7 linked regions of the Macaca mulatta genome follow. The protein of the gene in region 1 interacts with the protein of each later gene in a pairwise test. Links are inferred from orthologs where the notes say so. Each region holds a gene or a part of one and is shown on either strand. Other genes may lie near its edges.

Evidence for each region.
Region 2: the proteins of TRIM41 (region 1) and EHHADH interact in binary tests that used the Homo sapiens proteins (3 or more experiments, as listed by UniProt). The two-hybrid records come from large-scale screens. The link is inferred for Macaca mulatta from reciprocal best matches to the Homo sapiens genes TRIM41 and EHHADH.
Region 3: the proteins of TRIM41 (region 1) and GPATCH2L interact in binary tests that used the Homo sapiens proteins (3 or more experiments, as listed by UniProt). The two-hybrid records come from large-scale screens. The link is inferred for Macaca mulatta from reciprocal best matches to the Homo sapiens genes TRIM41 and GPATCH2L.
Region 4: the proteins of TRIM41 (region 1) and FRA10AC1 interact in binary tests that used the Homo sapiens proteins (3 or more experiments, as listed by UniProt). The two-hybrid records come from large-scale screens. The link is inferred for Macaca mulatta from reciprocal best matches to the Homo sapiens genes TRIM41 and FRA10AC1.
Region 5: the proteins of TRIM41 (region 1) and NCK2 interact in binary tests that used the Homo sapiens proteins (3 or more experiments, as listed by UniProt). The two-hybrid records come from large-scale screens. The link is inferred for Macaca mulatta from reciprocal best matches to the Homo sapiens genes TRIM41 and NCK2.
Region 6: the proteins of TRIM41 (region 1) and ZBTB48 interact in binary tests that used the Homo sapiens proteins (3 or more experiments, as listed by UniProt). The two-hybrid records come from large-scale screens. The link is inferred for Macaca mulatta from reciprocal best matches to the Homo sapiens genes TRIM41 and ZBTB48.
Region 7: the proteins of TRIM41 (region 1) and MEOX2 interact in binary tests that used the Homo sapiens proteins (3 or more experiments, as listed by UniProt). The two-hybrid records come from large-scale screens. The link is inferred for Macaca mulatta from reciprocal best matches to the Homo sapiens genes TRIM41 and MEOX2.

What each region holds. Positions count from the first base shown.
Region 1 is NC_133411.1:190,264,930-190,269,117, reverse strand, and holds the start of TRIM41 (E3 ubiquitin-protein ligase TRIM41), read right to left. Parts: upstream 2,801-4,188; 5' UTR 2,377-2,800; coding exon 1,276-2,376; intron 1-1,275.
Region 2 is NC_133407.1:97,414,896-97,419,013, forward strand, and holds the start of EHHADH (peroxisomal bifunctional enzyme), read right to left. Parts: upstream 2,801-4,118; 5' UTR 2,774-2,800; coding exon 2,700-2,773; exon of another isoform or gene 2,578-2,699; intron 1-2,577. UniProt on the Homo sapiens protein: Peroxisomal trifunctional enzyme possessing 2-enoyl-CoA hydratase, 3-hydroxyacyl-CoA dehydrogenase, and delta 3, delta 2-enoyl-CoA isomerase activities. Catalyzes two of the four reactions of the long chain fatty acids peroxisomal beta-oxidation pathway.
Region 3 is NC_133412.1:149,363,467-149,367,427, reverse strand, and holds the start of GPATCH2L (G patch domain-containing protein 2-like), read right to left. Parts: upstream 2,801-3,961; 5' UTR 2,714-2,800; intron 331-2,713; 5' UTR 321-330; coding exon 1-320.
Region 4 is NC_133414.1:105,636,547-105,640,046, forward strand, and holds part of FRA10AC1 (protein FRA10AC1), read right to left. Parts: intron 3,393-3,500; coding exon 3,309-3,392; intron 2,744-3,308; coding exon 2,659-2,743; intron 1-2,658. UniProt on the Homo sapiens protein: May be involved in pre-mRNA splicing.
Region 5 is NC_133418.1:13,989,773-13,993,272, reverse strand, and holds part of NCK2 (cytoplasmic protein NCK2), read right to left. Parts: intron 417-3,500; coding exon 222-416; 3' UTR 1-221. UniProt on the Homo sapiens protein: Adapter protein which associates with tyrosine-phosphorylated growth factor receptors or their cellular substrates. Maintains low levels of EIF2S1 phosphorylation by promoting its dephosphorylation by PP1.
Region 6 is NC_133406.1:234,203,605-234,207,883, forward strand, and holds the start of ZBTB48 (zinc finger and BTB domain-containing protein 48), read right to left. Parts: upstream 2,801-4,279; 5' UTR 2,669-2,800; intron 2,279-2,668; 5' UTR 2,210-2,278; coding exon 1,520-2,209; intron 718-1,519; coding exon 476-717; intron 1-475. Other genes in the region: TAS1R1 (taste receptor type 1 member 1), read right to left, coding at 3,238-4,169. UniProt on the Homo sapiens protein: Plays a critical role in transcriptional regulation and chromatin remodeling. Acts as a regulator of telomere length. Directly binds the telomeric double-stranded 5'-TTAGGG-3' repeat.
Region 7 is NC_133408.1:112,640,795-112,644,294, reverse strand, and holds part of MEOX2 (homeobox protein MOX-2), read right to left. Parts: intron 1,489-3,500; coding exon 1,316-1,488; intron 1-1,315. UniProt on the Homo sapiens protein: Mesodermal transcription factor that plays a key role in somitogenesis and somitogenesis and limb muscle differentiation. Required during limb development for normal appendicular muscle formation and for the normal regulation of myogenic genes.

The sequences.
Region 1 (4,188 bases):
GAAGCAATAGTTACTTGTGACGAAGTAATGTAGGTTTGTCTAGCTGTACCACTCAGGGCTGAGAAGTCCTACACACATTACTCTAAAATTGGGGTAACAAAAACAGTACCTAAATGAAGTTATGGCAGGAAATCAGGTGTGAAAACATGAGTCATAAAACAAACAAGCTCTGAGCAGACCACACAGAGGCTACCCTCTCCTCCTCCTGGTCCCACTGCTCCAAACCCATCCAGGCCTTCACTAAGTAGTGCTATTTGTGCTGGCTGCCTTGCAGACAAATCTCCTTTACCTATGTCCAAAGGAAAGTCAAAATGAGAAGTAGGGGCAAGATATTTGTCAAACTAGAATCAGACTCCAAGAAAGTCACATCAGAAAAGTCAAACAACAGACATCCAAATGGTGGTGGCGTTGTTAGTATACACCAGGGGAAGGGTCAGCAAATAACTAAGTCAATTATTACTGAAGCTCTGTGGTCCTCTGTATGGTACTTAAAGCCTCTGACTCTCTTTCCCAATCTATAAAATGGGAATGGAAAACATATCAAACTCACAGTGTTGTTTGGGTTTTAAAGAGACGGTCCATGAAAATTGCCTAGTACAGTGCCTGGTATACATACAAATGTCCAGAGAATATTAACTATCAATCCTGGATAAATTAAAGTTCAAAGACACACAGAGACAAACAAGATTTGACAGTGCGACTTGCAGAGCCAGGTCTTCTGACTGAAAAGCTCTTTTCTAGTCAGTACAGAAGAGTGACACAGAGCCAACAAAAGTCCTTGAAGGCAGAACCAAACCACATCGTGGTGGGTGGGGAACCCACTGGGAGGCAAGGGCAGGGCATTTGGGTCTGACACTGACACTAGCGGTTATCTCTCTGTTCCTGCTTCCGAGCCTTTCCTTGTCCTTTGAAGCCCCCAGTTCTTTCCATCTCTAGGTGTCTCCGTCAAGGACAGACTTAAGACTCACCAGAAAGCAAGCCAGACTGCTGGTAAAGTTCTAGAGACCTGATCTGGCATCACCGGCTTTGCTCTATTGGCTTTGAGGAAGCCATCAAAGCAAATGAAGACTGGTCGTCTTCACTGCATCTGCTCTGCGTACAGAATCCTTCTCATTCTAACCCACCTTGCTGGCAGTAAGTGCTTAGACAAGCAAACTCAGCTCATCAATACCATGAGGTTCTTTGATGGGCGAAGAGATGTTTCCTTTCCTCAGCTCCCCTTACTTCCTCTCCGCCCCCGACTAAACTCCCATCTTCTCTCGGTACTTCTCTCACCTTGTACTCCTGCACCACCTCCTCCAATGGCACCACGCTGTGCTGTTTGTGGCTCCTGGATTCTCGGCACACCACACAGATGGCCTCTTCGTCTACCTCGCAGAAGAGCTTCAGGGCTTCTTGGTGTTTGGGACAGATGCCCTGATCACTCACACGGCTCCCTCGACCAGGGGTTGGGTGCATCTGCCGAATCACCTGGACCATATTGGCCAGCTGCAGGTTGGGGCGGAAGCTCCGCCGAGGAAAGCTCTTTCGGCACTGGGGGCATGTGAAGCACCTCCGAGGGGCTGGAGGCGGGGGCAGTGGGGTGACGGGGTCTAGATCCTCTTCCTCATCCTCCTCCAGCACTTCCTCCTCGTCCTCCTCATCCTCCCCCCTCAGGTCCTCCTCCATGTCCCCCAGGTAGTAGTCCAGGTCTTCTTCTTCGTCCTCCTCCTCCCACACATAGTCCATGTTGTCCCAGCTGGACCTGCTCATGCCACTGGTCCAGAACACACCCTCTTCTTCCTCCTCGACCTCCTCCTCCATGTCACCCTCGTAGTCTTCATCCCGCATGGGGGTGTCCCACCCCGCGCCAGCCCCCACAGCCTCCACTTCCTCCTCCTCTCCGTCCTCCTCCTCCTCCTCCCGATCTAACTCATCTCTGTCCTCCTCATCCTCCCCACCCCACAACTGGGTTACACAAACTCGGCAGAAGTTGTGCCCGCAGCCGATGGACACGGGGTCCGTGAAGTAATCGAGGCAGATGGCGCACACCGCCTCCTCCTGAAGGGTCTGCACAGGGTTGGGTGTCATGGCAACGGCAGCCATCTTAGTGTCCAGCCAGCCAGTGTAGAGGTGCGGTGGGGGGGCGAGGGGCGGGGGTCTTCCCCACCGACGCCCTGGCGACCCGGCTCCACCCCCAGCCCTGCCCCTCCACACCTCGCCCCAAGGGCAGCCAGAGAGATGTCCTCCCGCCAACCCACCCCGCCACACAGTGTTCCCTACTCCCAAACGACAACCGCGTCTCTGCGAGGGGAGGGGACAGTGCTGGGCACCACCGCCAAGTCCCTCAGGTGGCTCTGAGTGCAAATCTGCCCCTATGCTCCTTGGACTCCTCATAAACCCCCGCCCCTCCTCACTTCCTGGCCCCGCCCCTAGCTTCCGGCCTCCTTCCCAATACTTCCGGCGTCTACACACCACCTAAGCTCTCGACTTCCCTCCGCTGTCGTGCTACTCCCCCTTTTTCCCCCGCGGGGCCCCAGGGCGACAGGAAATGGCAAGGAGACGCTCTAGCCCGCACTACAGAACAGGGCGGTAGGGCTAGGACGGTGGAGGCCCACGTCTCTGTGGTGCGGGACCGCGGCGAACGCAGAAAGAACAGAGGAACCGCCTACCCCCATCCCCCGCCGCTGGGGAGAAACTTCGGGGGGTGGGGGGAGCGCTTGGTGGCCGTCTGCTTTCGGTGCTATGACCGCATCGGCCAGGCGCCATCCTACCCTCCCGACACAGCCGACTGCAGCCGGTACGCCGCACCGCCAATGCCGGAAGCGAGGGGGTGGGTCCGCGGAGCGCCCTGAAGTACTTCCGGCCCTTCTAGGCAGAAGACTTTGTTGTGGAGGACTCAGAGGGTCGTACGGCTCGGACCCCGGGCGGGGCCTGAGAAAGCGCTTGGCCGATCGGGCCGCAGACGCCCAACCCTTCCCCAACTGTAGTCGGCGTTCCGCATCCAAGGTGGAAACTGCCAACCGGACACAGTCTCATGGTTTAGATGAACTTCCCTAACTGCCCAGAAGTAAAGAAGTGGTGACGAATCATTACATCTACATTCGCACAGCATCTCCGCAAAAATAGATGCTTTGTGCAGTAGAAATAATACTTGGTGCTTAAATAGCTCTTTAAAATTTATTTTTATAGAGATTTGATGTCGATACATAATAAAAAACAAATAAATGTTGTTTGATGCGAGGAAAATGACGAGGCAATGATTTATGTACAGAATCTCCAGTGAGTGCCAGACACGGCGTGACGCCAGGGCTGGGCCTGCAGGACCTACTTACCCTGCTCTCGGAGAGGCGGCTCGCGGGAAAACTCCAGGGGGACGTCGTGCTTCCTAGAGGGGCCTGGTCAGGCCTCTGAGGATGTCAGATCAAACGCGCCAAAAACCACGAACACTCGTGGGTGAACTATGCTCGGCCATTACAGGAGCTGCGGACCCGGCTGCGGTAGACAAGTCTGGCTCCAGAACCTGGACACCACTTAGCCGGCCGCGGCAGGGGTCCCTGGGTCTGTCCCACGAGGGCGAGGGCCTAGCGCCTTCCTGGCCTTCGCAGCCACGTGTATCTTCAGGACGATGCTGGAGGAACGTTAGCTCAGGCAGTTTCCGTAGTGTAGTGGTTATCACGTTCGCCTCACACGCGAAAGGTCCCCGGTTCGAAACCGGGCGGAAACACGTTTTTTTTGGGCCTGTTCAGGAGAATTTCTCTCCCGAGGCCAGGTCACCCGGTTGGAAGGACATGTGTGGCCTGCGCTTCGGAGGAACACGAACTCATACCACGTCCTTAATAAATTCTCGCAGTGTAAATTCAGGTTTTACACCTCACCTAATCTCTTGCTCTTCCCTTCTGAAGCCTATGCAGCCATCACATGCAAAGGAATCCGTAGATTTCAGATCCTCGGCCCTAGTACCTAGAACAGAGCCAGGCGCAGGCGCTTCTTAGTACTTGTACAGTGGAAACGTGCCTACACCTCTGCGGGCAACCTCCGTCTTCAGAGACAAAGTTATAACGTTGGCCAAGCTGCCCGGCTAGCTCAGTCGGTAGAGCATGAGACTCTTAATCTCAGGGTCGTGGGTTCGAGCCCCACGTTGGGCGGAGTTCCTTTTGGAAAGGGTAAGGCAAGCCGTGTTAGTTAAGTGCACGAACGGTATCTTCT
Region 2 (4,118 bases), on another chromosome or scaffold:
CACTTTACTAGATTCAGGCTGACAGAGAGAGTCACAGCAATGTAAAGGCCGCAGAGGTTACGAAATTATTTTTCCTGTTAATACTGTCAGGCATAAGGAAATAGAATCTGGAGTAGAGACAGCATTTCATGACTACTGACCAAAACTCTTCAGCTTCTTTGACTATAGGAGGTCTTTCTTTTTTTTTCAGACAGTTTTTTTTTTTTTTAACCAAACGTCATCCAATCAAGTTTGTGGCTTGTGACCAGGATTTTTTCAAAGGACAAGAAGAGAAAATAGACTGTATCAAACAATACACCAAGTAAGGATAGGTTTTGTTTTAGAAAACTGTTTTCAGTTACGTGTTTGTATGTAAGTGTATCTTGAATTGCTATGTAAAAACGTGAGCTTTCTTAGTCTGTGGATTACAGTAAAGCAATAGTATGAAAGCCATTGTTCTGGGAGACAGGCCTATTAATCAGGCCTGTCCTACGCTTATAAAGGGGGCTGGTGTTTATCTGAATGGAAGCAAACATGGCTGCTAAACTAGCAATGAAGGATTTAAACTATTTGTTTTGGGGAAAAAATTTACATATATGTGTGTGTGTATGTGTGTGTGTTACACTCAAGTAAGAATCTCTCAATCAGCTAGGAAGATACAACTTCCCATATAAAATTAGAAATAGGAAGGGGAAAAGGAAGAAAGGGAGGAAAGAAAGAAAAGTGTAATAAAAAAATTGAGGAATCTGTTAAACTTGAGGAACTCTTAGGATGTACATTTCTACCTAAAAAAAGTTCAGAAGACAGACGAAAAAGGGCAGAGAAGTACTTATTCCCAAGTGGAGAATATCTTCTTGATGAAACTGAAGTGGGTCCTGAGTAGCAGGGCCTGTTGTCAGGGGCTTGAATAGGTCTTCTGACTAATAGGAATGATAACTAACATCTATTAAATGCCACTTTATAATTTCCAGCTGATTTAAACTTCACAACTTTATGAGGTAGGCCCTAACATTTCTCCTGCAAAGGGGCTGGGGGTGGCACAGGCAGTTGCATGGGTGGGCAGGGAGAGCAGGTTAAATTCCAGAAACATTTAAAACAGTTGTCAGAGGCTGGGCACGTGGCTCACGCCTGTAATCCCAGCACTTTGGGAGGCCGAGGTGGGTGGATCACGAGGTCAGGAGATTGAGACCATCCTGGTCAACATGGTGAAACCCTGTCTCTACTAAAATACAAAAAATTAGCTGGGTCTGGTGGTGCACACCTGTAGGCCCAGCTACTCAGTACGCTGAGGCAGGGGAATCACTTGAACCTGGGAGGCAGAGGTTGCAGTGAGCCGAGATCACACCACTGCACTCCAGCCTGGTGACAGAGCAAGACTCCGTCCAAAACAAACAAATAAACTAAAAAAAAAAAAAAAAAAACGAACAGTTGTCAGAAAACATTCCTAGTCATGGGTATTAGAGTATGGAACTTTTCCCACTAAGGTCCTAGTATCTAGCAATTCTAATCAGTATATAGACCAGTCCAAAATGGACAAGTAATCAAATTACTTACATTTTTCTTTGTCAAAACCAACATAACAGATATTTTGCTTTTTATTCTGGGAATGGCAAGTTAGTAGACATGTCATCCTTATGTGATTTTAGTCCTGCATTTTTTTGGCATTATTAAATGTAATAATTCACATTGAATTAATATTAATACTAATGATAAATCAAATCTGATGACAGTAGGATTTTTAAATTGTATTAAAATTAGCAGGTCTTCTCATTTCAGTCTCTTTGCTTCAGCAGTATGTGATAAGAATTTTGACTAAAGACCTTTCTCTCTATGCTTTATATATTCTTGGTAAATTATGATTTCCACTAATCTTATTCCCTGTGGATAGGTAATTCTTTTTCAAGGCTGATGTATAACTACTTTTTTAAAGAGATGTAGAATGACCAAACCGAATAACTTCATTACTTTTCAAAAAAGCAACATTGATCTCACTTTTCAATGTTTTAAGTGCACCACACAAGGCAAATACTTCCCAGTGAGAAAAAGAAGACAAGGTGCAGTTTTTCAGAAAATGCTATTACATAGGCTTAGTCTGATGTGAGTCTTCCTCGGAAGCACCAAAGTCCTGAGGTTCAAACAAATCAGGAGAAATAATTTTGCGTTTCTGGACCAGGGCACAATTCTGCTTTAATCACTGCGCTGGCATTAGTGGGACTTTTACTATTATTTTTAAATGTTAAACCATTTTACTGCCCTATTCCTAAAGCCTTTAGCCAAACATTGTAAGGGCAGCCTGGACTCAAAGTTGGGGAGTGAGGTTGGATCAAAGTTCAACATCGAACTAAGTTAAGACCTTTGGATTAGAAAGTCGACCTGCAAAGCCAAAGTTGCAAGTAAGCAGGAGGACTCTGCATGAAGGAACAGGTCAAGGCCAACTCCCTGAGTGCTGATCTGTCTCAGCCTCAGTTTCTTTATCAGCAAAACGGGGACGAGAGTTCTCTACGAAGATTAACCAAGCTAATCTAGGTTAAAAAAAAAAAGAAAGAAAGAAAGAAAAGAAAAGAAAGAAAAAGAAAAAAAAGGGCTCCTGGCATGTACCAGTTGCTCAACTCGGAGTGTCCTTCTCGGTTTAAACCAGCGGGGGAGAGTCAAAGCCTCCGGAGCCGGAGGGCGGGTAAGGCCCGCACGGTCCCCGGGCTGGAGGCGACCGAGCACGTTACCTGATCGCGTTGACCGGCGGGTTTCGGAGGCGGATCAGCGCCAAGGCGTTGTGCAGCCGCGTATACTCGGCCATGTTTCTTCTATTACCGAGGGCACCTCTGCCTCTCGCCGCCAGGCAAAGCCACTTTTCCGGGCGCGCCCGGCCGCCCCCAGAGGAGGGACGCCGACTGGGCCAATGCGAGCCGGGGCGCCGCCTCCCGCCGCGCCTCTTCCCACCCAGCCCTCCTCTCCAGAGACCCCACCCCGCGCTCTCCAGACGCTTGTCGCTTTCTCTTGATTGACTCCCAAGCTGCTCCCACCACAAGGTACAGCAAGGAGAATGATGGAAACAGGTGTAATTGCCGGCAAGTGGAAGTTTGCAACCCCTTGGCCCATAGGGGCTGGCTACTGAGGACAAGTTCTGAGTTCGCTGAGTCGGGCAAGCTGTCCGCATCGCGGTATTCATCTTCATGATCTTTCTGAACCAGGGACAGATACCTGGGGCCCTGACAGTTATGTGATATTGATACACATCTGGAACACATAAAATACACATTGTTCATTTCACCTAAATGAGTAGGGTACTAATGAAACAGCCTTTGCAAAAATTCTAACACTGAGAAAATTATGGCAGTGAAAGAGATCTGATTTAACCAACTCCATCTTGCCTTTAGCTGCCCTTAATTATTCCTGAGCTCAGGCCAAGTTAACTTCGGGAGACATTTAGTTTATAGTTTAAATGATAATAGCTATTCCCCAAAACTCGACTGCCTTTGTAAAGCTGAGAGACCACCAGGCTAGGAGGATAGAGGAGTGTGAATTCTGTCTGCTAAGGTGTAGACAGAGACCATTGCCAGCAATTACTCCGGAGGCCACCAAACAGACAACCCCCATTTACTCCTGCAGATAACATCGCTATTGTAGAACCTAAGTTTGGCCTTTTGAGGCATTTTTTCAGGATTTTTGCATGCCTGACACTGATGGCTCCACCTGGACCAGTCCACCTCTCCTGTGGCCCCACCCATAAGCAACTCAGCACAAGAGGATAACTTCAACCCCCTATGATTTCATTTCCAACCCAGTCAGCACTTTCCATACTCTAGCCCCTGCCCACCAAACTACCTTTGAAAAACCCCTAACCTACTAGCCTTCGATGAGATTGATTTGAGTAATAACTCCATCTCCCATGTGGCGTGGCCAGCCTCACATCAATTAAATTCTTTCCTTACTGCAATACTGTAGACTTCCTGAATTGATTTTGTTTGTGCAGCAGGCAGGAAGAACTCATCCAGTGATTAACATCAACTAAATACTTATATAACATTGTTACTAGAGGAGGGTCTGGACTGCAAGTTGTCCAGGTTCTTGGTGTTTTGAACAAAGAATTGGACAAAACACACAAACAAAGCAAGGAAAAAACAAAGCAACAGAAGCGTATA
Region 3 (3,961 bases), on another chromosome or scaffold:
TTACTCTTAACAATGGCATTGAGAGCTGGGTGTCGTTTGGCCACCATTGTGTCATCAGAGTCACTAAAATTGGTCACGGGAGCCACTTCTCGACAGTCCTTAGTGGCCTCATCCAGACTTGACTCAGAGGCCTCGCTGTAGCAGCAGGTATGCTCTGCCAGGTGAGTGAAGTCAGAACGACGCTTCCGACCTCGGCGTTTCCGAAGCTGCCTCCTCTGCTGCCGGGGGCTCAGGGCCATCTCCTCCCACAGCTCACCAAGCTTATTCTGCTCAGATGTCTGCTCCAAGGCTGAGGCTAAGTCGTGTACCAGCTCATCCATGAGGCCACATCTGCCAAAAGGAAGTTTGGCGGGGGGTGGGGGGGGGGGAAAGAAAAGAAAAAGAAAAAGAAAGCCTGAAAAGGATCTGTTGTTTCGGAATAATTTGATGAAACAGATCATGGTAGTCCACAGTACTGCCTGTCTAAATGAAATAAGTCACCTTTCATCTGGCTACACTTAGATTCTGTTCCTACCACTTCCTAAAGCCACTAAAAATAGATGTTTTGTCCCTTGTTAAACGCCTGAAGTCAACATATTCTTAAGCACAAAAACCTACTCACCAGATGACAACTGGGACAGGACCCAAAACAAATTCGGGGGACTAGATCCTTCTCACTTTTCCCCAGTTAAACTTGTCACTGAATTACCTAATGATGAGATCCAGAAAGATTAGAGACTGTCTCACTAGACAGGAGTAGAAAAACATACAACTTCAAAATCACACTAGAGTTGCAGAAACACAGAGCAGGACACGGTCTCATCGAGGTATTGAGAATGAATGAAAAACTGTTCTTTGGCCTGGGGTCACTGCTGACAATGACCATGGCAGAAAGAAACAGAAAGACAACTTAGTGATACCCTTTAAGGAAGAATGCAGTTTTCATGATCCAAGAAATTGTAGTGGCCAGGTTTGAAGTCAGAATGGAGAAGAGACTAAGTTTGCACCCATTCTGGTACCAACTACCACCTGGAAGCTACCAGGTATAGAACCTTATACAGTAGGTCATATATTTTTGAATAATTAACAATTTTTAAGCCCCTCTCCTACTCTTCAGAAAATAAATGTCCGAATGTCCGTCCTAGTTATGTGCTTCAGTGCCACACAATCACACAAAAATAGGATACAACAGCAGCTGAAATGACAGGGATAGGGTGAAGTTTCTAAGATTTCTGGCTGAACTGCTTTCCAAAATTTCTTATTTTTCTGTTTATCCTCAAACCAAACATCACACTTCAGGAGTCACTTCAGAGGCAAACATTTCAACAAATGAGAGTAGTAGGAACAATCTTCAAAATTCCCTCTTAAGGGGAAATGTTTAATTTGTATAGCAGCTAATTAAATACACATTAAACTTTTAGCACTTTTCCCTTGCCTCTATGCCCAAAGTATTTCAATATCATGTTAAAATTCTATGTGGTGCCGCTCTCTCACCATATTCCCATTCATTCAGTTTTCACTTTGCAAAGGGTTTTCTAAAACCTGTTTTCACGCTGTGCCTATGCCAATGAATTTAAAGACAGGAAAACAGTCCTGGGGCTTATCTGCCACACCTGTAGGAGCAATGGTGACACCTACTTCCAAAACTACCATACAAACGAAGCTTCTCAAAGTGTCCAAAGGCACATACATTTAAACAAGACCAAGTTCTTTTAAGCATTAAGAAGTGATTTATTAACAGCTGTGAAAAGAAGGGGAAAAAATGGAAAAAAAAAAAAAAAGTGGATTAAAATGCCATGATTGAGGTTTGGGAGACAACTGTCCCTAAGACCAAAATAAAGAAACAAGTGGGAACAGCATGCCTAAATCTACTTCCCTAATAAAGAATTACTGCTTTAAAAACTCAGGCAACTAAAATACAAAAAAATAATAATAATAACAAATAAAAACCTCAGGCAGAATAGCACAAACTTGAACACGGAACGAAGTCACCAAACAACTGGTAGTCGAATGCTTGTGCAGAATCCTTTCCTGCCTCAAAGCCTGTAATTCGAACAGTGGGTGACAGAAGAACCCTAGGGCTCCCCCCATCTCCAGTCGCGGGTGCACACTCTCGAGAGGACCCGGCGTCCAGGCACGCACCCGGGTAGAGATGAGGCTGAGTCACGCACAGGAAGGAACGGGTAGGGCAGCTGGTGGACAGCAAGTAAGAAGAGAAACAGGAGCAGGGTGGAAGTGAGGGGCGGAGTAGGAGGTGGGAGAGGCAGGAGGCAACTTCTCATTTGGGCTCACCAGGGGCGGGGGTCGGCTCTTCTAGGGCAGAAACTGAAAAAATGCAAGTCGTGGCGACTGAGCTCCCTCCGGGATCGGGGGTCGCAACACGGCCACATATGTGAGAAAAACTGTGTTTCGAAGGACTCTCCACCTCGCCCCGGCCCGTCCCTGAGGGCTGGGGCGACCATGGCTCGGGACACCAAGCCCTCACGCTGCCGCCAGCCCCAGAGAGGCAGAAAGAAGAAAGAGGAAGAGGGGGCTGTGGCCCCGAAGACGGCCCGACCCACATCCCCAGGGATGGGGACAAGGGCCCTGAAAAGCAAGACCCCACCACCCTCACCCTCCGGCCAGCTGCCGCAGCCCCAAGACGCCCTTAGCCGCTCAGCCGCGGCTTGGCGCTCCGATCCCCTCTGGTACTAGCCCCCAGGACCCCAACACTAAAACCACTCCTCCCCCTCACCAGCTGCCGCAGCCACCTCCAACGGCCGCCGCTTTTTGGGCCGACTCTCACCGCCAGGGCTTCCCTCTCTGACCTCATTTCCGGTCTGGGCCGGAGGGGTGGGGCGGCGGCGAGTGGGAGGGGCTGGCTGCAAGATTGGGCCCCTGACCCATTGCTTCCGCCCGTGGCCACACCCACTTCCGCCCCGTGGTGGGCGGAGCCACAGGAAGCCAGAAGATGGGGCAGGGGACAAGGAGGGGTGCTGAGTAAGGTCTGGCCGGGAAAGGGCGTTTCACGGGTTGAGGTGCCCATGTGGGGAAAGACCCCTGCATGCTGGCCTCATCTTCCTTAGGGGCGTCCAGAAATTGGGCGCTAGGCAGGGGTGTCAGCTTCCCCCTTGCTTTCTGACCTTTTTAATGGGCCTATGAAGTTGAAGAGAAAAGGATCTTAATGACGTCTACCCTGTGAGCTGGTACAAACATTGGGAGGGGTGGTTCTTCACTGAGTTACTCAGAACATTACAAATTGCCTTGAGCAATAAAACAAGTGATATTGGATTATAACTCAAAGTATAAAAGAAATATTCATGAGCCCATACCGATATAAATAAGTGATTGAATAAATTAACGAATGAGGAAGAAGAGATAAATCCCCCACAGAAGAATCTCAAATAACTTATGTAGACAGCCATCCTGGAGCATCACTTCCACCTCCTTAAATGTGGGCTGTGCATAGTGACTTCCTTCCCAAAAGTACAACATCTGTAAAGGGGAAAATGAGTGATTTTACAGTGGGGAAACCTGGCAAACAGTAATTCAGCCAGGTGATCAAGACTATGTGCTAAATCATGTTGATAGTATGTGGACTGATATATGATGAGAATGGCACTTTATGCTACTTTCCTAACAAATCTCATAACCCAGTCTAATTATAAGAAACAAATCAGACAAACCCTAATTGAGGGACATTCTGCAGAGTACATGACCAGTATTCTTCAAAATTGTTAAGATCAGCAAAGGTAAGGGAAGTATAAGAAACTCAGAGCCAGGAGAAGCCTGAGGAGGCATGACAATGTAATACGGTATCCTGGGTGTGACACTGCAATTAAAAAAAGAACATTAGGTAAAAACTAAGGAAATCTGGATAAAGTATCAACTTTAGTTAATAATAACGTTATCGGGCCGGGCGAGGCGGCTCATGCCTGTAAACCCAGCACTTTGGGAGGCCAAGTCGGGCAGATCACCTGAGGTCGGGGGATTGAGACCATCT
Region 4 (3,500 bases), on another chromosome or scaffold:
TTTTAAAATATTCTGATTAAAACCCAACAAAAATAAAATCCTCCAAATCTAGGGGAAAAAATAAAATTTCAGGATAACTCTGTTTAATTCTATTTTTTAGCCTATATATGTATGTGGAGATTGCTTGCATCCAACATATGTGAGGATGTCTACTGAAGCACAGCCAAGTGTAACAGTAATAGTTTCCAAACTTCTTCATTCATTAATCTATTCACCAGATAACTTACGAAGCAACTACCTAATGGGCTTGGCATTCCACTGAGGATAAAAAGTGATTATTAAAATAGTGTGTCACCAAGAAGGTTATAATCTTATGAGGAAATAATAAATGTAACAAAACAAATTACATTATATCCTACTAGTTAAAGACTGTATATTCTTTCCTGACATAAATGTCCTAGTTTGGATTAAAGTTGAAGTTATTCAGGATTTGGTGCTGAGCCTCTTCTTCTCACTCTGCACTCATCACAATGAGGTCACGTACGCAAGCAGTAAACAAGGATTCTGACTTTATGACCATCGACTTGAACTTTTATGTATACGAAAAATAAACTTTCCAGCTCATTCAAGCCAGTGGTTTTTTTCGGGGAGTGTTCTCTGTCCCTGCAGCTGGACCTAATCCTAACTGATACATTGATCCAACTAAAAAGGGGAAATGCAATAAAGAAAGGAATAGGAGTAAGAGGCAAAGATGGAAATTCACTAAAAATGCTCTAAAAGAATCTACTGTATATATTAGGAGCTGTTTTTAATTAAGTGAATAATACACTGTCTTTGTATAAATAAAGGGAAGAGAAAATGCATCCTAGTGAGGGAACCAAAGGCATTACTCTTTCTCCAACACCTCGAACATGGTATACCAAAACCAAACTCATTATCTTCCCCCCCAGCAAAAAAAATCACCCTTCAAATTCTGTATTTTTCTCAGCATCCGTGCTCAGAATCTGTGAGTCATATCTGATTTCTTGCTGCATTTACCCTCAAATACAATCACTCATCATGTTTTAGCAGGAAAATACATTTTTTTTCAAGCTTATTCTCTTTAAAGTACAATTTTTAGTGGTATTCTTTTTTAAAAAACTGAGAACTCAATTATTTAATTTTTATTTATGTATATTTTCTCCCCTCAACTAGACTAGTTTTTTCTTAAGAGTACTATTAATCCACAGTACCTAGTCCAGTTTCAATAGATACTGAACAACAACAACAACAAAATACTGAAGAATTATGATGGTAATAGGAGGTGGGGAAAAATAAAAGAAAAAAAGAAAAAAAACCCCAACAACTTAAGAACAATCCATGAATAAGCCAGGGCTGAAAAAGCTCCTTTGTTACATGCTCCTAGAAAGAGATAATTTTCACACTTGATTTACAATATAGTAACTTTAGGTAACTCCAATTACTGTGGTGCTTTTTGAATCAGATGTGGTACAGAGAAGACAGCTGTGAACTAGAGTCCACAACTAGTTTATAAGAAACAGAAGTTTTGGGGATATATTAAGTGCATGGGTTTATAAATAGGGTATACAAAATGAACATTATTACTACTTTCTATAAGAAACTGTGAAGCAACACACTTATTAAAGGCACTACTGAAAAAATTATTAAATCAACCTGGTTCTAATGAGATCAAACGATTTAAATGACAAGAAATCTTCATGATACATAAATATAAGATAGCTTTTTAAACAGGTTTTTGTCTTAATACAAATATACAGTATCTACAACACATATTTATGCAACCTTCCCTCCTCTCACATTTCTAACTGAGATCTGCTCCTGGGTCACCTTTTCCAGCCACAATTTGACGTTTGAGATAGAAATAAAAATAACTTTTTATTTTTTAGAGTCTCACTGTCACCCACACTGAAATGCAGTGGCACGATCATAGCTCACTGCAGCCTCAAACTCCTGGACTCAAGCAACCCTCTAACCTCAGCCTCCCAAGCAGCTAGAACTATAGGCATGAACCACGGTACCCCGCTAATTTTTTCCAGTTTTTGTGGAGACAAGGTCTCACTATATTGCCCAGGCTGGTCTTGAACTCCTGGCCTCAAGCAATCTTCCTGCCTCCGCCTCCCAAAGTGCTGAGATTACAGGCATGAGCCATCATACCCAACCAAAAATAAAAATATTAACTAAAGTAAGATGTAAAGTGGGAAAGGAAATCTGACATTACTAATTAGCACTGATTGAAATGTTAATTTTACTAGAATAGACATTTACATAATAGAAGATGTACATCTGGATCTCTATAAATGGTAATCAATTTTTAAAATCTATCAATTTCAAACATCATCTGTGAAATAAGATATTATTCTGTAGAGTTAAATCATTCATCACAATCACTAGAGGCTCTAGACTAGAGTCAGGATGAAACAGGATCCAATACCCACTTGTGTTTAATTTTAGACTTTTCATGCCTCAGCTCACAAAAGAAAAAAAGCATAAATTTCCTTCTAAATTTCCATAGGCCTTTTGTAAACTCCACAGCTGCAGAGGTTAAATGGTCCAAATGACACATCATAAATGCAGGACAACTGAGTCTAGAATTAGCATCTTTAAAAGAATAATGTGGAGGGGGGACATGACAGTATAATAAAAGTTAATATTTTACTTGAATAAGAACCTCTTTCTATAAATATGTGGAAAGCATACCTTATTTTCTTTATATTTACTGAGATCTGCTATGCAGTATTCCTTAAATAATTTATCATAGTATTTCTTAGCAAGTCTCTTCTCCCTAGATCCATAAAAATATAAATATACATTTAGAAACTCAACCACGGTTTGCTACTTTCAAGTGATGTCAAAGAATACATACGACGTAAATATTAAAGTTTTAAGAGAACTATTACTTACATGTGCATGGAATATCTGGATACTAACTATTAAAAGTGGTTCACTCAGGGAGGGAAACTGGAGAATGACAGTCACAAATGAGAAGGAGAATCACTCTTCACTGTTTACCCTTTGTAATGTTTGGATTTAAAAAAACATTTTCAGGTATGACTTTTCTCCAAAACTTTAAAAATTAAAGCAGCAGCATATAATAGCATATTACAAGATAACACACAATACTGTAAAAAATAATGTTTTTGAAGACTAAGTCAAACACTGAGAAGTCAGTTAAAACTGCCAAAAATTACCAAAAGAACCAAATAATCCTAGGTATGATTTTATGTCCTTGATTCTGAACTGTTCTATGAAGGGGCTGAACACCTTGACTAAGTGACAAAAAACCACTCAGAAAACAGGAGAAACAGGACTAAAGCATTTGATGCATTATGCCTCTGATGGCTAATTACCAAGTCATGTCCATTTCGTCCTCCTCATTCCATAGGAATCTATGATTTTCTCGTATAACATCCAAGTCTGTCTTGTCATTTTCCCTGGAAAACAGAACTTTTTCAATTTAATACAAAAACAAAAGTAGTCAAATTTAGGTTAAATAGCTCTGTGAGTTTTGGAAAATTTTATTAAAAATATAATACATGAAT
Region 5 (3,500 bases), on another chromosome or scaffold:
CTCTCCTCCCCTCCTCTAAAGCTGGCCGGCCGGGTGGGTTCGAGTGTGGGTGTTAGGCCTGGATGGCGAATGGGAGACAAACCGACCAAGCGACCTGAACATAAAGAGACTCGCGTAGAAGCCGTCGGGGCCGCCGCCCCCACGGGAGGAGCCTCTGCCACAAGGCCGGGCGGGCAGCTCCACCGTGGGGCCCGGGAGGCGAGTGTGGGGCCGGGGCGCCGTCACTGCAGAGCCCTGACGAGGTAGAGCTTCTCCCCGTGCTCGCTGGTGAAGATGGGCGCCTTTTTGTAGTGCTCCACCAGCTCGTCCATGGTGTGGAAGCGCCGCTGCCCAATGCAGTAGACATTGTCCACGAGCTGCACCTTGAAGTGTTTGTTCTTCCCTGACGCTTTAAGGGACACGGAGAAGTCGCTGGGCTGGGGAGGAAACAGAACACAGTTACAGCCAGGCCCACAGCTGGGAGCTGTGTCTAAATCCATCCACATCTCCTGTGTGTCTAAATCCAAACCACCCATTGCTCAAACGCTGGGTCTCTGGTTTTTTGTTTGTTCTGAGACGGAGTTTCACTCTTTTGCCCAGGCTGGAGTGTAGTGGCGCAATCTAGGCTCACTGCAACCTCCGCCTCCCAGGTTCAAGCCATTCTCCTGGAGTAGCTGGGATTACAGGCGCCCGCCACCACGCCCAGCTAATATTTGTATTTTTAGTAGAGACGGGGTTTCGCCATGTTGGCCAGGCTGGTCTTGAACTCCTGACCTCAGGTGATTGCCCCACCTCCCCGCCTCAGCATTCCAAAGTGCTGGGATTACACGCATGAGCCACCACGCCCGGCCAGGTCTCTGTTTTATATCTAGAACGGCATCTGATGTTCAGAAAGACCTGGAGGCAGTCCATGATTCTGAAATTCTGAACCAAAGAAAAAATAAATTCTGCTTAGCCCAGTTTCAGTGCTAAATGCGTTTTAGTTATTTGAAAAGTGCAAACTCATTATGGAATATACAGTGTTGCCCTGACTGCTGAAGAAATTTGCTGTTTTTCATTTCCCAAACTATTTTTTGATAAATTGGGAATTTATTAAGAGTGGTTTGTATGCAGGCAGTGGCTAGAAATTTTACTATTTCTGATGTCTAACACTATTAGAAATTAAGACGTCAAAATTTTTCTAATTCTTTTTTTTTTTTTGAGATGGAGTTTCGCTCTTATTGCCCAGGCTGCAATGCAGTGGTGCGATCTTGGCTCACTGCAACCTCTGCCTCCCGGGTTCAAGCAGATTCTCCTGCCTCGGCCTCCCGATGTGCCACCACGCCTGGCTAATTTTTCTAATTCTAAGCATTTGAAAATATGAACAGCAGTGGAAAATTCCAGATGCATTTTAAACTTAGTTCACAATATCCCAGAGGAAGCTGAACTATGGTTTGATTATAGATTTTATTGAAAAATATTTAAATTCTGTGATGTCAGTGCCTTACATTTCAGAATATTTTAGAAACATGTCATTATTTTAATCAAAATGCATCTTTTATTGGCCAGGTGCAGTGGCTCATGCCTGTAATCTCAGCAATTTGGGCAGCTGAGGCAGGTGGATCACCTGTGGTCAGGACTTTGAGACCAGCCTGGTCAACATGGTGAAACCTCATCTATACTAAAAATACAAAATTAGCCAGGCATGGTGGTACGTGCCTGTAATCCCAGCTACTTGGGAGGCTGAGGCAAGAGAATCGCTTGAACCCGGGAGGTGGAAGTTGCAGTGAGCCAAGATCACACCACTGCACTCTGGTCTGGGCGACAACAGAGAAACTCCATCTCAAAAACAAACAAAAAAAATGTGTGTATATATATAGAGAGAGACAGAGAGAAAGAGAGAGAGAGAGGTCTTTTATCTCATTTGGTGAAAAACATGCAGGAAAGAAGATACTAAATGATAAATATTCTTTGTACAAAAATATCAAGTTTTGATCAATTCATTAAATGAATAACAATTAGTTACTAACACATGCCAGGCAGGCGGTACCCTGGATACGTGTGTGTGCATGCAGGACAAATGCTCTGTGACAATCCAGTGTGGGGAGCAGATAAATAGAGGTGGACAGATGGCTGCATAGGGCAGTAAGTTCTATGAAAAAAAAAAAAAAAAGAAAACAACAACAACAAAAAACAGAGTTGCATGAGAGAGGAGCAAGAGGTACCAGAGCTCTGTGTGTGAGTGTGTGCAGATATGAGAGGGAGTATGTGAGTATTGAGGGTGTGTGAGAGTATGTGTAGCGTGTGAGTGCATGTGTATGAATGTATGAATGTATGTGCACACACAGGTATGCACTGGGGGGCAGGAGAGCCCTCTGGACAATGTGGAGCTGAGCCTGTGCTCTCCGAGGCAGGGCTGGTAGAGACTGCTCGGGAAATTGGCACCTTGGTGAAGAAAGGGAAGCAGGTCCTGTTCTGTGGCACTAAAGAGGCAGTGTGGCTGGTGGAGTGGAGGAGGGAGTCTGGTCTCCCTCAAGGGCCCAAGAGTAAAATTCACCTACCCAACTGGCCTCTGCCTGTAGTTCCAATCCATCAGACTAAAGGATTTCCCACCCCCAGTCCCAATGTCACTCCTGTTCGTGGTGTTCTTGGGGCCATCTTCTGTCTCCTCATGATCAACTGTTCCCTTAAGGCTCAGCTCAAAGGCTATCCCGCTGTTAAGAAGCCTCACTGACCCCAAACAAGGTAAATCCTCTACCCACTGGCTTGGTAGCTAGCACCAGGTTCATGCCTGGCCAGTGGCAGGACCACAGCCTAACATCTGAAATTTTTAATGGAATTCCCAGACCAGCTTTCTGCTTTTCTCAAAGCCCAGGAACTTCCTGCTCTGAGGGTCCAGCAGTTCGACCCCGCTCTGCGACCTCCCAGCAGGACCTGAGACAGTTAACAAAGGCCTAGGCCATTGTCTATTACAGAGTTCACAAAAGCCCAAATATGTTTGATAAGAAGTGTGCAACCCTTGCAAAACAAGGAATCACTCCATTTATACCAATGACAACTGAGGGGAATGAGTGCCTGAGAAGACTCGAATTGTGCAAGGCAGCTGGGCTCACCCACCAGCCACAGCTGTTAACAGAAAAGAATGAAAGGAACAATTGTAAGCATAGTTTGTATTTATGCATACCTTTGTCCCAAATAGACCAAATAAGAACAAACCTTTGAGGGGAAAAGCCCCATCTCATCGCCATGTGAGGCCCAGGGCATGCTCCTGGATGAAACTCCAGGAAGAAATCAGAAGGTTAATCTCAGATTAGGCCTCAGCCTATAGATGATTAATATTCTGTAAAGATGTATATTCTGTACTAGAAGTCTGTGCCTTTAGGAAAACATGAAGGGCAGTCTCACAGAGTTTACTATCAGCCAGGCTCAACTTAGAGATAAAGTGGCATCATTTTTAGTGGAGGCAGTATGGGAGTGAATCATGGTAAATATATGATACTCCCAATTTTAATTAAGCCAAATGATCAACAGATGACTTTCTA
Region 6 (4,279 bases), on another chromosome or scaffold:
CAACTGGACTTTAATACTCCACTGACACCCCAGAGTGAACACTTCCCTGGAAACACAGGTAGCACTGACCCAAGGCTCAGCATTGTGGCCCAAAGCCCACACTGCCAGGCTTCAAGCCCACACTGCCGGGCTTCAGAAACACCTAAGGTTGGGCCTCAGCTCTAGCACACGGGCCACAGGTTTCTCATTCTGTCCGCAGAGGCCAGCTGAAGGTCAAGGTCCACAGTGGGTGGAACCTGTTGACAAGATGTCCACAAACCCATCTCCAACCACAGTACTCACAGGACAGTGAGGAAGAAGAATCTAACCCAAAGCAGACTCTCACTTCCTGATTGCCAGAGGTGTGCCAAGGCCAGGCACTATGTGGGTCTGAGATGGATCCCCCAGCCCCTACCTCACCCAGAAGTGGGACGTGCAAGACCCCTCCCCCAACGCGGGAATGGCAGACAGGAAAATAGAAAAACAGAAAGTTTACCTGTTGTGGACTTTTAGATAATATTTGCTGAGGAACTTTTTATGACATGTGGGGCATTCGACCGGCACCGCTGTACCTTTTCTGTTCTCAGCAGGCTCAGCTGCTAGGGAGCCCGCACTCAGGGCTGGCTCAGCTGCACAGGCCTTTCGGATTACATTTGACTTCCTCCTGGTCAGCACAGCCTCAGGCTCAGACATGTAATCACCATCCCCGTCGTCCTCCACTTGAACCACCACTTCCCACTAGAGCACAATAGGCAGCAGGAGGGGGTGGGGTCACCAAATGAATCAGCAGGAGTTGTAGGGACCCAGCTCCAGTTCCATCCCAAGCCCCAACCCTGACAAGTCCCTTCATCAGACACTGTTCCTTCAGGGGCCCAAGGCAGAGCATCTGAGTCTTGGATTCAGAGGAAAGTGACTGTATTTGTGGGGAACTGGAAGCTCGGATGGAAACACTATCCTGGGGAAACACCTGTAACCCTGATGCTGCCCACTCCTCTCAGGAAGGTGGCAACCATGAATAGCTGGGGCTTGCAGAAAGGTCAGCCTGAGATCACCAGCTTCCTTTGTTTGGAGAAAGCCCGTTCCAAACCCACATTAACAGAGATTGTCTTAAGGTCCACTTTTTTTTTTTTTGAGACAGGGTCTTGCTCTGTCGCCTAGGCTACAGCGTAGTGGCACCATCTCAGCTCATTGCAACCTCCACTTCCTGGGCTCAAGTGATCCTCCCACCTCACCCTCCCAAGTAGCTAGGATTACAGGTGTGTGCCACCACACTCGGCTAATTTTTGTATTTTCTTTGTACAGATGAGGCCTCGCCATGTTGCCCAGGCTGGTCTCGAACTCCCAAGCTCAAGTGATCCACACCCACCCTGGCCTCCCAAAGTGCTAGGATTACAAATAGACTTCGTCCATCCCTGTCGTCCTCCACTTGAACCACTCACGTGAATGAGCCATCACACCCAGCCCAGGGTCCCTATTATACCAAAAAAAGTGTCTATTCCCTCCATTTGTCTCCCCAGTCCCAGCACCCTGGGCACAGTACCTCATTACTCCCGCCCTGCAGCTGGCCACCTTCAGCCTCGAAGGGCCTTGGAGGCATTTTGCAGTCCTCAGGTTCCTTGTCCTCGGGGGAACAAGGCTTCAAGGCCTGCTTGAGTTTCCCACAGAGGGAGGAGGGACTCTCTCTCTGAGCTGGGGAATGGAGCTGGGGCCTCTGAGGACTATGACTGCCTCTGGGCTCCTGATCTCTGGGGACTAGACCCAGAGTCCTCGAAACTTCCTCTTCTTGCAAGCCTGCCGGCTCCTTGAGGAGGCTGTTCACATTCTGGGAGGCAGGGGGCCCCAGCCCACTCTGGCCACCTGCTGCCTGTCCCACTGAAGTTTTGGGCTTGAAGCTCTGGCACAGCTCTACGGCCTCTGGCACTCGCAACTCCCTGGCTGCCAGGAGCACCTGATCCCGGTTCCCTGAGGTGAGAGCGAGGTGACCAGTGTAGAAAAAGTCCAACAAGAGGCCAAAGATCTCAGCGAAGCCAGCAGGGAGGACGACACTACCTCCTGAGCCATCCCCGTAGAGGCTCTGGAAGAAGTGGCTGCAGCAGGCAAGGACACTCCAGTGCGCCTTAAACACCAGGCCCCCAACGTCCAGAGTGGCGTCGCAGTACTGGCCCTTCTCCCGCTGCTTGTTGAGCTCCTGCAGAACCCTCACACTGTGCTGGACGAAGGAGCCGTCCATGGTCTGGAGGGCAGGGAGGCAGAAGTGACACCCTGGCCAGCCCAAGCGAGCGTATGCAAGAGAAAGCCCCTGGAGTCGAAGAGAGAGAAAGGGGAAGTTGGCCTCCACTCAAATAATCACATTTATCAGCACGAGGGCTTGGGTCAAGGTGAGGGGTGCACGCGGAAGGCAGGAACATACTTGACAGCCTCCCGGGGACCGGGGGCCATATTGGGTTGGCCAGGGGGGATGCTGATGGGGGGGTCAGGGTCATGAAGAAGGGCCTGGTGGGAAAAATCCAAGTTTGGGGAAAGAAGGCACGGGATGAGCGCGAACTGACTGGCCTGGCACAGTGAGAGGATCCTGGACTGGGGAGGACGGCGGCCGCGGACAGGTAAGCGGAGCCCACGCCGCGCCCACAGGTCCCGAGCGGCCGAGCGGAAGGCAGCCACGGCGGCCCGCAGCCCCTCCCTCCCTCACCTCGTGCCCTCCTCACCCAGGCAGGTCCTCCCTGAGCTGGCCCCACCAGCCCCCGGCTCCGTCGCCTCCACAGCCCACGAACCAACTGCCCGGCTATGCGTGCCCCGCCGACCGTGCGGAGACGCAGCCGTCTCCGCGCCGGACGTGACGTCAGAGCGTGCCGGCCAGGAGGGGCGCCTCGGAAGCGTAGATCTTCTAGCTCCGGCACCCGAGGGCGGGGCCCCGCAGAGAACGGCCAATGGGATGAGGGGATGAGGCCACGCCCTGTTCTTTTGGCGCTGGGCCCGCCTCCGGGGTTGCCTAGCAACGTCAAGCTGGGCACCAAGCCTTTTCCAGGTTCTGGGTTCAGACTTGAATCCGCGGCACCTCACCCTCTTCCCCGACAGGAGACCAGATACGCATTTCACTTCTTTATTGGCAGCCCGGAGCCTGGTCTGGGCTCTCCCGGGCGCTTACACGTCCCAACCCCAGACTGAGGTGCCCAAAGGCCTCCCAAACAGCCCTGGCCTGCTTGACCTTCGACCCTCAGGACAGAGAAAGCTACCAGCTATGCCTGCTGACCCCACTGGTCAGGTGGAGCCGCGGTGCCTCGTGTAGTCCTGAATGGAGGCCTGGAAGTGCTCTGTGCTGTTGAGGTCTGGGCGGCAGAGGATCACGTAGCACTTGGGCAGAAAATACCCGCCGAAGCCGCTGCTCAGGCTGCTCAGCCCAGCCAGCATGTTGACCGCGGGCAGATACTTGCCGTCGTAGACACTAGCCGTGGTGAAGAAGGCGATCCAGGACATGAAGTTGAAGAGCAGGCTGAAGGTGACACATTTGGCCTCGTTGTAGTTCTCTGGCAAGTCCTTGCCCAGGTAGCTGCAGGCAAAGGCACTGATGGAGAGAAGGCCATTGTAGAGAAAGGCCAGTATGAAGCCCAGGGAGTTGGCCTCTGTGCACTCAAGCATCACCAGATGGGGGAAGCGCTGGTATTCCCTAGTGGGCAGTGGAGTCCACACCACCAGCCAAGTTAGACAGATAAGCAGCTGAGCCGCTGAGCTGATCATCACAAACAGGCCAGCACCATGGTTTTGGACCCAGACGCGGTAGAAGGTAGGTGCCTTGGCGGAAAACTTGAAGATGATGATTAGTTGGAAGGAGCGAACTGTCAGGCAGGACAGGAAGATGGTGAAACCAAGGGCAAAGAGGGCCTGGCGCAGCAAGCATGCAGGCCTCGTGGGCTCCCCAAAGAAGCCATAGAGGCTGCCGCTACCTGCTGCCAGGGAGCCCAGCATAAGAAAGCACAGGCGGCCCCCTGCTGACCTCACCACAGGGGTGTCTAGGTGCCAGGCAAACAGGCCAGCAGTCCCAAGCAGCAACAGCAGCAGCAGTGTGTTAGCTGCCAGCAGCACCCAAGAGGTGTGCTCTTGACAAGCCAAAAACACCACAGTGCGTGGGAAGCAGGTCTGGCTTCCCTCAGGTGCCCACTCTTCTTTCCCACAAGGCTGGCATCTGTAGAGGTCTGAAAGGGAAGGCCAAGAAGGTTCCTGAGAGCCAGATGAGCAGAGTAGGAATAGGAAATAGGGGCCTGCAAGATACTGGGAGAATTGTACCCAGGCAGCTAGACTGTGC
Region 7 (3,500 bases), on another chromosome or scaffold:
AAACCAGAGAAAAGTGTTCCTCTGCATATTTCTACTACCCATAAATAACCTACCAAAGCTGAAATGTAAAAATTAACAGAAGGAAAGCAGATTATTTAAGAAATTGGATAAAATAATTTGCTCTAGTAAGACATGCATTCATTTGTCCACACCCTGTTGATATTTCTTTGGTTCCAATGGGATCCTGGAGGAGGTACACACAGTGAAAGAGGAAATGAGACTCTAGCCCTAAGAGTGCCAATCATAACTGCACTGTCCATAAAGATGTTTGCATTCGCCTTTCAGGAATGTTTTTGTAAAGATTAGCAACTGTTAACCGGCAGTAGGCTAGATTCTCCTTGGGGAAACCAGAATCTGTACAAGGAGTTCACTGGGAAGACTCTTAGAACAAATCATTTGTCATTTAAAAAAATGCAAGAAAGGGACCTGAAAAGCAATTAATTTAAAAATATTATTTAGGTCTCATTAATTAGAGTCCAAAAACATTAATAATTTCAAAATATTCTCTAAGTGGATAGCAGATTTTTCAATATCTGAGAGCCATTCAATTTCAAAAATATTTTGGGTAATGGGGCAGAAATATTTACCAATGATCTATGTGACCTTGCCTTTCATCATTTCCCAGCCATCTTGCACCTAAGCTGCACCATTTGACTCTTCTAGACATCAGTGTGTAAATAGAAGTGACATGGGTAATTTCCAGGTGAAAACATTTAAAGGTCAGTGCATAAACTTCCAATTCTTTCTTATTTCTTGTAGTTACCACAGACACCACATGTTGAGATGTTAAAGAGTCAGAATGGGTCTGTGAGCGATTATCTGGAATGCTGGACATGTAGAGTTTGTATGGAGAGTGAGTAAGTAATGAATATTTTTGTGTTACGCCATTGAGGTTTACGGGTGAACGTGTTACTGCAGGGTAACATACCCTATCCTGAGCAATACAGAAAACTAATCTGGGGTTACCAACTTTCTCATATGCCAAATAAGGAGATTTTAGCATATAAGCATACACAGTTCCTCACTGTATGCCATCATTATGTAAAAGAAATAATATTTTAAAACCAAAAAATACAGAAGGATCATAATCATAGGAGGATTCTTTCTTAAACTCAGTAAGTATGGTTTTCTTTTAAATATCATTATATTATTTTTAATTTTGTCATTTTGCTGGCAAAATTTTATCATGGAATAGTATACCTGTCTTCCAAATGGTATTGAAGAATTCTGGATCTAGGTATTTCAAATATGGCAAAGAAAACTGTGGACCCAGAGCAATTAAAAAAGATCATATAATGACAATGTCCAGCTTTACCTGTCTTTCAGTGAGATCCAGATTCACTGCTATCTCGTATCGCCTCAGTCTGGTGAGATAATTATGATGGGCAAATTCTGCTTCAAGTTCTCTGATTTGCTCTTTGGTAAATGCTGTCCTTTCTTTCCTGGGTTTGCTGTTGACTTCTGACTTGTAATTTCCTTCCTGGGAGTCTGAAAAAAAGTGAGACAGAATTGGTAATAACTCATTTATTCAAACACATGCAATCATATCATTCACAATTATTGAGTTACTACTTTTCCAGGTTCCGCACAAGACATGGAACAAATATAGACCAAAGACAGTAAGACTGATGGCAACTCAACAGGGGGAGATATGTTTCTTATTTTTCTCATCTTCCTTCAGGTAACTCACAACCTAATTGGGAAAGCATGTAATTTTCCTCTTATAAAATATTAACAAAACTTCTAACTGCTTGTAATATGATTTTAAGATAAACCAAAACCTCTCTAGAAAACAATTTTAGATATGAAGTTTTGTTTCATAAGTTGTTGAGCATACGTACTTGAGGTCTAAGTAAGATTGAACATAGTAATCCTTTAAAAAGTGGCATCTAGTACATGAGTATTTGAGAAATTCAAACATTCAGCAACTGGACCATAAAAAATTTTATACTCAAACTGAGCATATGTAGAAGTATGTGTGTACTTATTGGTCTTTTTATCTGTATTTAAGTAAAATTATTGAGGGCAATAGCAATGTTCTTTTATTATATATAATACTTAGTCCAACATGGACTCTATAAATGAAATTGTGTTCGTATGACTTAAACTATGAACAGAGTTTTTCAATGTGTTTTTCATTACATATAAGATAAACTTGAGATGTACAACACGTACCATCAGTGATCCACAACATCAAATCTTATAATGCAGTATAAAATACCAATAACAATTTTGAGCATATCATTCCATTTTTCCTCTTAAGGGTTCAAGACTTAATTAATATATAGAATTTCTTTCACCCTCATAGTACCCCTGAAATGTAGGTCAGAAGATATTCTTAATATACGAAAAAACAGAATGTGAATCAATAGTAAACACACACGCCAAGTAAAAAGTAATCATACCCAGCTCTAGTAACTTATGGCAAATTTATCCTCAGTGAAATATCAACATAATCAAGATAAAGGAGCACATTAATGCTCTCCTGAAAATTATTTCTGGTATCTAATTATTTTTGCACATGTACAAACAAGCTGTGATATCTTTAAAAAGTATGAATACAATTAACTCTTCTAGGAGCCCAGATGATACAAAATTGGTGTAGAAAGATCATCATTAACCAAAGGTTTCAAAGAGTGACATTTTAATTGTTTTTTTAATTGACAAATGTAATACTGCATGGCTTATACAGGATCTTTTTACATTATGGGTGTTTTTTTTTTTTTTTGTGCAACGATGCTTAAATATGCTAAGAAGTACAAAAATGAATTTTTTAGTGTTCTACTTCTTTCTATCTGCCTGAGGGATGTTTAACTGAACTAAAGAGAACCTGCATAATGGAAATTCACTAGACAAGGCACTGTAACGTAAACACTTTTATTTTGATTCTTAGAAGTATCTAAGTGAGCCAGATGTAAGGTTTTTTAGGTCTAGTAGCAGCAGCAGCAGCAATAAGTTGCCTCAACAACTTGGCACACTGGTCATTACTTATCCTCTGATGGATCACAGAGTGTTTCACTCACTGGTGCACTGGCACTATCTAAAGCTCTTCATTCACTGACCACATTTCTGGGCTTGTCACTTACCCCTGTATCAGCTAGCTTCTCACCTTAGCAGGGCACGTGGGGCTTTATCCAGCACAAAAGTAGTTTGTGACATGTCATGCACAGGCTGACTGCACTTTATAGAAAGCCACTGGGACCGGGAAAGTGACATAAGAGATGATGTGTGTACTCTCAGATAGGCCATGTTTACATGGTACCAACTTACCTGGCTGTGAGGATGGAAACTGCAGTCTATCATCCAATTTTCTCTAGCTACAGATATGTCAACATCCACACTGGTGGAGCATTTAGCTATTCTGGCATTGCATGAACATTTCCAAATGATTGATTATTTTTTTAACTTTTCCGTGGGCTGTTCTTGCAGCCTGCGAACTGTTACAGTACAGAATATTCATATAACAAGATCCTCTCACAAGCATTCATGTTCTCAGGTGA